Linked DNA regions of Sus scrofa. The protein of the gene in region 1 interacts with the protein of each later gene in a biochemical or structural test. Links are inferred from orthologs where the notes say so. Each region holds a gene or a part of one and is shown on either strand. Other genes may lie near its edges.

Region 1 (4,310 bases):
AGCCATGTATGCAACCTACAATGCAGCTCACAGCGATGCTGGATTCTTAACCTAGCCACTGAGTGAGGCCAGGGATTGAACTTGCATCCTTATGGGTACTAGTTGAGTTTGTTACCACTGAGCCACAACGGGAACTCCCTTACTCCAGCTTTAAGTGGCTCTCGTATTAGACTTCGTAGTTAAGCTATCTTTAATGGCACGATTAAGAGGTTTTGATCATTATTCTTTTTGAGCTGAAACTGGCATCAGCCTTTTCAGATTAAACAGTTTCCTGGATCTGTGGGATGAACTAAGAATTGGCTGCACAGGTTTGAAGATCCATTTTCAGTAGCTTTATCTTAATATTCTTTAAAAATGGATAACTCCTGAAATGTTTATTTTCAGCCGGACTCTTACATGTAAACCATCAGAGAGTCCGTCCCTGGGAAAAGATCCTTGACTTGACACTGGGACTACATTCATTCAATTTAAATGAAATCAAATGAGATAATGTATGTGAAGCAGGAGCTGAGGGCATCATATATAGTCAATGTATAGTAAATACTGGCTGTAATTGAAGTGGTGGTATTATCATGATTATCTCTTCCCAGCATAGTGTCTGAACTTAATAGTACCTAGTAGTGTGCAATGCATATTTATCATAGAAGGAATGAAATGTGTGTCTGCCTGCTTCTTTTCTTTTCCTCCCCGCATTAAATGCTTGTCTGCTCTTATAGCTGGGGGAAAAGCTGACATCAAAATTGGCTTGCTGCGAAGTTTCTCAGCCCCATTTGTCACCTTACCCTCAGAGCCCAATTGTATGTCAACGCCATGTCCCCTCGGATGCCTGCCAGTGAGGGAACGACCACAGGTCACTTCGCTATGATCTGCTTTAGCTGCCAAGGCTCTGGTCAGCCTTGGCTGATGGATGGGTGCCTCGCTGTTGGAAATGTCTCCATGGGGCCTCTCAGGAAATATGCCCGTGCTGTATTTTCTGGGTGGCATCTAGCACTTGACAGTAAGAAACATGGAACATCAAGAGTGGAGTTTTGCTTTTCTTGAAAATCCAGAGTTTTAAAGACCTGCTTTGTGTCACCTAGTTTGAGTTTTGCAAATAAGACCTCTCATCCTCTTTGGCAATGGACCCTCTTAATGTTTTTCCCTCCCTAATCTATACCTTTAACCGAGTGGTTATTCTGAACGTTCTCTTCCCTTGATTTGCAGCGCTCGGAAGAACTGAATGAAATGTGCAGCTGTCGGTGTCATTTCTGAAGGGAGGACTCGTTTTCTTGGAGAAGAGGCCTCAATGAGCCTGGCCGAGGCCCAGGATCTGTGTGAAGTGGACTAAGGATTTAGTAGGATGTCAACTGAGACAGAACTTCAAGTAGCTGTGAAAACCAGCGCCAAGAAAGACTCCAGAAAGAAAGGTAGGGCTCAAGCTGTTCCTATCCTAATATCTACTCTTGTGTAGGAATGAGGTTTTTTGGTCCCTGGAATGGCATTTGGGGGACTATCTTTGTGATTGCTTATGTTTGTTTGTTTTAATAGCACCATTATTGGGTGTTTTTTGTATGCACAGTATCGTATTTTAAAGGTCCTTCCTAATTCTCTTGGTAAAATCCAAAGTTCTTTTCAGCATATACAAAGCCCTTCTTGACATGTCTTCTACTCATCCCCCCCCCAAGCAACATCTGTGTCTGCATTCACGCCCCATCTCCATCTAACCCTGTTCACCCGCCGGGCATTCTGTGCTTTGTAGTTCCTCTTTGCATATACCAGTGATTCTCAAACTCTACCTGCACCAGCATCACCTGGAAGGCTTGTTAAAACAGAGATTGCTGAGTCTCATTCCCAGAAATTTGGGTTCTCTGGGTCTGTGGTAGGGCCCAAGTTTCATCTACAACACATTCCCAGATGATGCTGATGCTGGTGGTTCAGAGTCCAGACTTTGAGAACCACTGGACTCTCAATCCGTCTGTGGCTCTCTGCTATTTCCTAGACTGACTTCTGCCTATTCTTTAGTTTTGAGCTTAGTAGGACTTCCTGGAGGGCCAGGCCTTTCCTTAACCCCAAATGGGATTAGTTTCTCTTTGTTTGTTTTGTTTCGTTAGCACTTTGTTGGTAGCTAACTTTATTAATAATGTCGTCTTTGTGTTTGTTAGCCATACTATATAGTCCTTGAGAGCTGGATCTCTTGTTGACCCTTTTAACTCCCATCAATTAGAAAGTGCTTGACACATGGGAGTTCCTCTAGTGGCTCAGTGGGTTAAGAACTGGACGCTGTCTTGTGAGGATGCATGTTTGATCCTTAGCCTTGCTCATTGGGTTAAGGATGCAGTGTAGGTTACAGATGTGGCCCGGATCTGGTGGTGCAGTGGCTGTGGTGTAGGCCAGCAGCTGCAGCTCCGATTTGACCCTTGGCAGCTTTCATATGCTGCAGGTGTGGCTATAAAATAAAAAAAATAAAATAAAAAAAAAAAAAAGGAAAGAACGTGCTTGACACAGAGGAGGCACATAGGTGTTTAGTAATGAAGACTGGCATGCATGGTGTGATAATTAAGTAATTGTATCAGTATTCGTGGGTTTTGGAGAATTTGGTCCTATGGCTTTATGACTATGTCTTTCTTTAAGTTTATCCCCTTATAACTAGAGATAAGCAACTTCTTACTCTGTGTGTGTGTGTGTGTGCACGTGCGTGTGCACATGTGTGGTGTTGTGTGTTTTCTCCCTGCAGTTTCAGCTGTTTCCCTCCCCTTCAAAAAATGTGTGGGATAGAATTAATAGAGCTCTCTTCCAGGTCATGAAATCTGTCAGTCTGGGCCTGAAAACTGGATGCCATTGGTTGCTTTGTAGAGGCTGTGATTTGTTTGAGACATTGCTGTGCGTGCCCAGTCGTGTTTCCTGATGGCATCTGTCTGACACTCCATAGGAAGAAAGGGACATAAATGTAATACATATGCAGCTCTTGGGCAGTCGGAACCCCAGAAAGGACTATAAATTTTGCTTCAGATGTTTATTTGAAACACAAATATTTTCGAAGCAGTCTATTTTATCCCTATAACCTAATGTAAACCTTGTTTTTTATGCATCATGGTCTAAGAATAATAGAAGGAAAGCAAGTGGGTGATAGACTAGGTCTTGGGAGAAATGCTACGTGGGAAAAAAATTAAAAAAAAAAAAGATTGCAGAGCCCAGTATGTACTGGAATTCAAATGCATTTTCACTGGAAACTGACAAGTTATATTCTTGCTTCAAAGTTAATCTTTCCACTAAACTTGTGCTCTTGAATGCTTAATGCATCGAAAATTGTACTTAGTGCATATCTTTTCCTTCTTAAATTTAGCATGCAAAACCAGAAACATTTTAAATAGAGGATTCAGGTTTTCGGAACATTGACTTGGTTGAGGATTTGGAATGGGGCTATGAAGGTGACCTTTTAAACTCTTCCTCATCTCCACATTCTTAGTAGCTCTAATATCAGCACAATATCTATGTAAGGAGTGTCCTCAAATGAGTGGGTAATACCATGGAGTCTAGACAGCCAGACCTGGGTTCAAATTCTGTCTATGTCACTTCCTAAGTATGGTGACCTTAGAATTTTACTTCACCACTCTGAGCTTGTTTCCTTTCCTATAAAATGAGGAAATGATATTATAAAGTTCAAAGGCTCACTCGGATGATTAATTGAAAAAAGGCAAATACAACTTAGTATAGAACTTGGCATATATTAAAAACTCAACAAGGAGTTCTCGTGTGGCTCAGTGGTCAATGAACCCGACTAGGAACCATGAGGTCGGGGTTCTATCCCTGGACTCGCTCAGTGGGTTAAGGATGCAGTGTTGCTGTGAGCTGTGGTGTAGGTGGCAGACGCAGCTTGGATCCAGCATTGCTGTGGCTGTGGTGTAGGCTGGCAGCTACAGCTCCGATTTGATCCCTAGCCTGGGAACCTCCATATGCCATGGGTGTGGCCCTAAAAAGCAAAAAAAAAAAAAAAAGAAAGAAAAAAAAAAGAAAAAGAAAAAACCTCAACAAAGCTTTATCTGTGTTCCTCCTCTTCCTCTCCCCCTTTCCTTTCCCCTCCTCCTTTTCTCCTTACTTCTCATCATCTCCTATTTTGGCATCTTTCTCCATCTTTCCCTCCTCTCCTTTCTTTTTCCTATTTTTCCTCTATTTCCCTCCCTCCTCCTCCTCTTCATCAGAATCATCACATTGTTTTCTCTTACTCAAGGGCATCTTTAAAGATATGTAGCTGATTTGTCCCAGAACAAGATTTTACAATTCTTTGTAAGCATGCAACAGCAATAAACAGTTTTTATTCTTGATGTATTTGT
Region 2 (4,423 bases), on another chromosome or scaffold:
ACAAAACAGGAATCAATCCTTTACAGGAATCTTGCCTTTGCTTCCTTATTTTTTTCTTTCCTTAAGCCTCATAATTGAATGTTGCAAACTACATCAAGAAGAATCAACCTGCAGGTTTCCCCTCCCCCAACAAGAAAAGGTTAAGCTTCTAATTACAGGCCCTCCAACCATTATTTTGTGCAATTAGCAATTAACTATAATCGTTGATGAGAGAATGTAGAGCTGCACTACTGATATCCCTCCTCCTCATCCTAGACTGGGTTATTTTAGTCGCGTTCTATTTCAGAGGACTAACCACAACCGCGCGCGCACACTCTCCTTACACATGCTCTCACTTAAAGACACAGTTAATTTTTAGCAAAAATGGCATCTCAGCGTGCGCCTAAGATGATGTGGGGCATCCCCTACCCCACATCAGAATAGCCCAAACGTTTAGACCCACTCCTCTTCATCACTTTTAGGTGGAGAGAGGAGGCCCAAGGAAGAAGCTACCTACCAGCCTCATAATAGCAGCCGTTCTTTGGGGCGCAGGAGAGGGTGGTAGAGAGATGCTTGTTGCCCCTGAAAGCTGCAAGTCCCCCACCCCCCCGCCCGGGCTGTAAGCCCCGTTAGGGGGAAGGCGGTGGCAATAGCCTCAGTGGTTGCATCAGTGCTAACTGCTGCTGCTGCTGCTGCTGCTGCATTTACTGTTGGCGACTGCCGGGAAGGTACTGTAATGACTGTAGGGAGCGCACAGCTGCTGCGGCGGCAGGTTCCCGGGATCAGGAAATTAGGGCAGGCACCGGGGATTGGAGGCGAGGGCGGCGCGCGAGCCAACCAGCGACCGCCCCGGGCCCCCGTGAGCCCCGGGCGGACGCGCTGAGCAGCCGGATCTCAGGAGCAGTCCCGGCGGCAGCGGCGGCCACGGCCACGGCCACGGCCACTCACGCTCCAGCACATACTCTCACACCCCCCAGAGCAGACACCTGGCCACCCCGAGCTTTTAAGAGGAGCTCGTAGAGTGCGAAGGAGGGCTGAGGCCGCCGCGCCCGCCCCTACCCCCGCCGCCGCCGCCCGCGCCCCGCTGACCACTCCCCCTCCTGCCCCCTCCTCGCTCCTCACCCCGCGCTCCAGCAGCCGCCAGTGTGGGTGCTCCGCGGTCGGCTTCTCTCTCTTCTGTCTTCTCGGCCCTCCTCCCCACCCCCTCTCCCTTTCTCCCCTCCTCTTCCCTCCCCTCCTCTGCAGCGCCTGCATTATTTTCTGCCCGCGGGCTCGGCTTGCACAGCCGCTGCAGCCGGGGGAGGTGGGTGGGTGGGTTGGTGGGTGGGGAGGAGATTGTGCAAGTTGTAGGGGAGGGGGTGCCCTCTTCTTCCCTGCTCCCTTTACCCCCTTCTAACTCCTTCCCCTCCTCCCCCTCCCCCTCCTCCCTCCCCGCCCCCACCTCCTTCCTCCTTTCCGAAGGGCTGGTAACTTGTTGTGCGGAGCGAGCGGCGGCGGCGGCACCACCATCCAGGCGGGCACCATGGGCACGTCCGCGCGCTGGGCGCTCTGGCTGCTGCTCGTGCTGTGCTTGGCGCCCCGAGAAAGCGGCGCCACTGGAGCGGGTGAGTGAGGACGCGCCCCTCCGCGGGCTGCCCAGACCCAGCCGAGGTGCTGGGGGCCCCCCCCCCGCCGAGGAGCGGGTCTCCTTTTGCCCACCCCCCCTCCTAGGAGGCGCCTCTCCGCTCTCGTCGCCTTCTTTCTCTCCCCACCCTGGTGGCGCCTCTGAGCTGACTGTCAGCACCTCGGCTACCGGGAGCCGGGCTGGGGGGACAGTGGGGTTTGGGGTGTCCTAAAGCCTGGCCCGAACTATCTTCATTCCCCTACACTCCCTCCCCCAAGGCCACTGCTTTGCCTCATTTTTCACCCTGCTGGGCCGGGGATGGGGAATGTGGGCTTCTGAGCCATTGAACAATGGTTCTGTCTCCTCTGCCAGGCGGAGTGTTAGGAAGGAGGCAGAGGGCCGGGTGGGCCGAGACGTGCGCGGCAGCTCCCGGCGCGCTCCTCCGACTTAAGCGAGGGTGGGAGGGGGCGGTGGATGAGGATGGGCGCCTGCGAGAACGCTGGGCGCTGGGTGCCGGCCGGGGCTAGGGTCTCCCTCGGTGGTGAGAGGGCGCGCGATCTGTGGGCTGCTGCGGGGAGTCTCCGCCGAGCGTCGAGAAGTGCGCAGCCTGCGCACCCGGACTGCGACTCCCCAGGCGCCGGGCCGTCTCTCTGGAGTGCGGGTTAGATGACTAGTGAGGCTTGAAATAGGACTCCCTCCCCCAGCTCTAGATAGTTCTCCCCTCTCCCCTTTCCACTCTCTGGGCCGCGTTTATAAACCTCTCGGGTCTCCAAGATAGCAGAACGAGGGAGGGGAGTGGAAAGAAGACTTAATCAGGTTAGTTTGCTGAGCCTCGTTCCCGGTGAGATTTCCTCGAGAGGAATCGAGTCCTAATCTAGTGACTGTAATTAGCCTTCATTCTAAACAATACATCAAAGGGAGCAGCGCGAGAACTGGGAGAGCTGGTGTGTGACTGTAGTTTGTTGGGGAGGGCGGTGGTGACTACTGTCAGGTCCCCAGGGTCTGCCGCACTGGGCCTGGGAGCCCTGTGCTCAGCCACTCTCCCACTTGGGGCCGCACAACTTTCCCAGGCAGGCGACAGGAAGCCCTTCTCAGAAGATTCCGTGAGGATCCTGGCGAGTCTCTGAATTGACCTGGAAAGGACACTGAGGGGCTGGCTCGCCAGGTCTGGGGAATTGGCAAACTGCCCCGTCCTATGTACCCATTCCAGAGACCCTAGCTCTTGTGTCCCCAGTGGCGTTGGAGGCCTGCCTGCCTGCCTGCCTGCAGTCACGTGTCTTCTGAAGTGAGAGCGAACTTTAAAGCGTCCAGGCAGCCTCTCAAGCAATACTTGGGGACTTGAGCCTCCGAAAGCCCCTTGCCCTTAGATGCCAGTTGTCCGGAGCGTGAGAAGCTGGGACGGGCTTTTCTGCGCTCTGCGATTGGCTGGCCGCCCGATCACGTTTCGGTTGGTCACATGGCTCCCAGACTCATAATTTAGCAGCCTGAGAAATGTTATCTTTAAGGGAACATAAAAAACGGACAGGCTCCAATGGACTGTTCTCTCAAATGCTTTCCCCTGCCTGTGCGCCTTGAAAAGGGCGCGTGCGTAGCAAAGATGGCCTGTGATGTGTAACAAAACTGAGAACTTGGAGTATCCCTGCTTAGGAAAGTTTTCAGACGCTAACATTAATCATTAATGGATGAGCAGTACTAACTTATTAAGCGATTTCTCAGACTAGTGCCCTGACTTGCATTACACCTTTCATATCATTTCAGAAGACTAAGATATACCAGAAACTACTGATCATTGTGCAGGAAAAAAGGAGAAAGGATTTTTTTTTTTTTTTTTTTTTTTTTGCTGTGTGTTCTCTTCATATTCTTTTTTTTTCCTGTTAAAATTTTTTCTGTTAAAATTTTTTTTATATTCTTTTAATTTAACATATAACTTTCCATTGGGGATGTCTTTGTCCTATAGAATACTAGGAATGCATCTAAATTGTAGAAGTAAGTTAGTTGAAGCCATATGTTCACCTTGTATTAGGTAGGCGAGCATGGTTTTTCTTCTCTAGTTCGTGAATGAAGTGCCATGAACAGCAGATAACAGAAGCCCATAAAAATGCTGGTCTAAAATCCTCTAGGACAGGGCAGGTGTTCTTTAGGATGCTAGCAAGGAAGTTAAATTAGGCTAACGAGAAGTTACAATTCAATAGTGGAGTATACCTGATGGTAAAAAAAAAAAATCTCTAGACGTTCTTGGGCATTTTCCTCCAACCTAAATCATCACGATTAGGATCTGGGGTACCGTATATTCATTAAGGCCAGGGCCTAGAAGAACCAAGGTTTTGTGAGAGCTATTCAAATGTGGCTAACAACCAGCAAAAAAGTAGACAAAACTTCTCCTAGTGTGGGAAGTGGGTTGGTGAAATTGGCACTACCTGGAGGCAAGGGAGACTGGAGGGTGGAGAAAAAATAAGCCTGGCTTTTCTAGATAGGCCGCAGAAAAGATGTGACAATGATCATAATCCTCATCTAGATCAAAGGATGAGCATGTGAGCAGGGACTCTTTAAAGGAGGGTTGCTCCTCAGGCCTCGGTGACAGCTGCTGGCAGTCTGAAGCAGCATGGCTCGCCAAGTCACCCCCATTGCCCACTTCACACAACATTCAACTCTATACCTGCCCTGTGTCATTTTGAGTCTTTGCTTGTATTGTTTGAATCCCCAGATATCTAAAGCATATATCAAGGTCAAGTTCAGTAGAGCTGCCAAATGTTAAGACTTTTTAGTATACAACACTGCATATTTTCATGATCGCGTCCCCCATGCTCAAAAGAAATGTTTCTGCCTTTTTAAAAACTGGAT

Evidence for each region.
Region 2: the proteins of DAB1 (region 1) and VLDLR form a complex in vitro, tested with the Homo sapiens proteins (2 studies listed by BioGRID). The link is inferred for Sus scrofa from reciprocal best matches to the Homo sapiens genes DAB1 and VLDLR.

What each region holds. Positions count from the first base shown.
Region 1 is NC_010448.4:155,083,236-155,087,545, forward strand, and holds the start of DAB1 (disabled homolog 1), read left to right. Parts: upstream 1-1,339; coding exon 1,340-1,406; intron 1,407-4,310. UniProt on the Homo sapiens protein: Signaling adapter of the reelin-mediated signaling pathway, which regulates the migration and differentiation of postmitotic neurons during brain development.
Region 2 is NC_010443.5:219,206,785-219,211,207, reverse strand, and holds the start of VLDLR (very low-density lipoprotein receptor precursor), read left to right. Parts: upstream 1-1,501; coding exon 1,502-1,583; intron 1,584-4,423. UniProt on the Homo sapiens protein: Multifunctional cell surface receptor that binds VLDL and transports it into cells by endocytosis and therefore plays an important role in energy metabolism.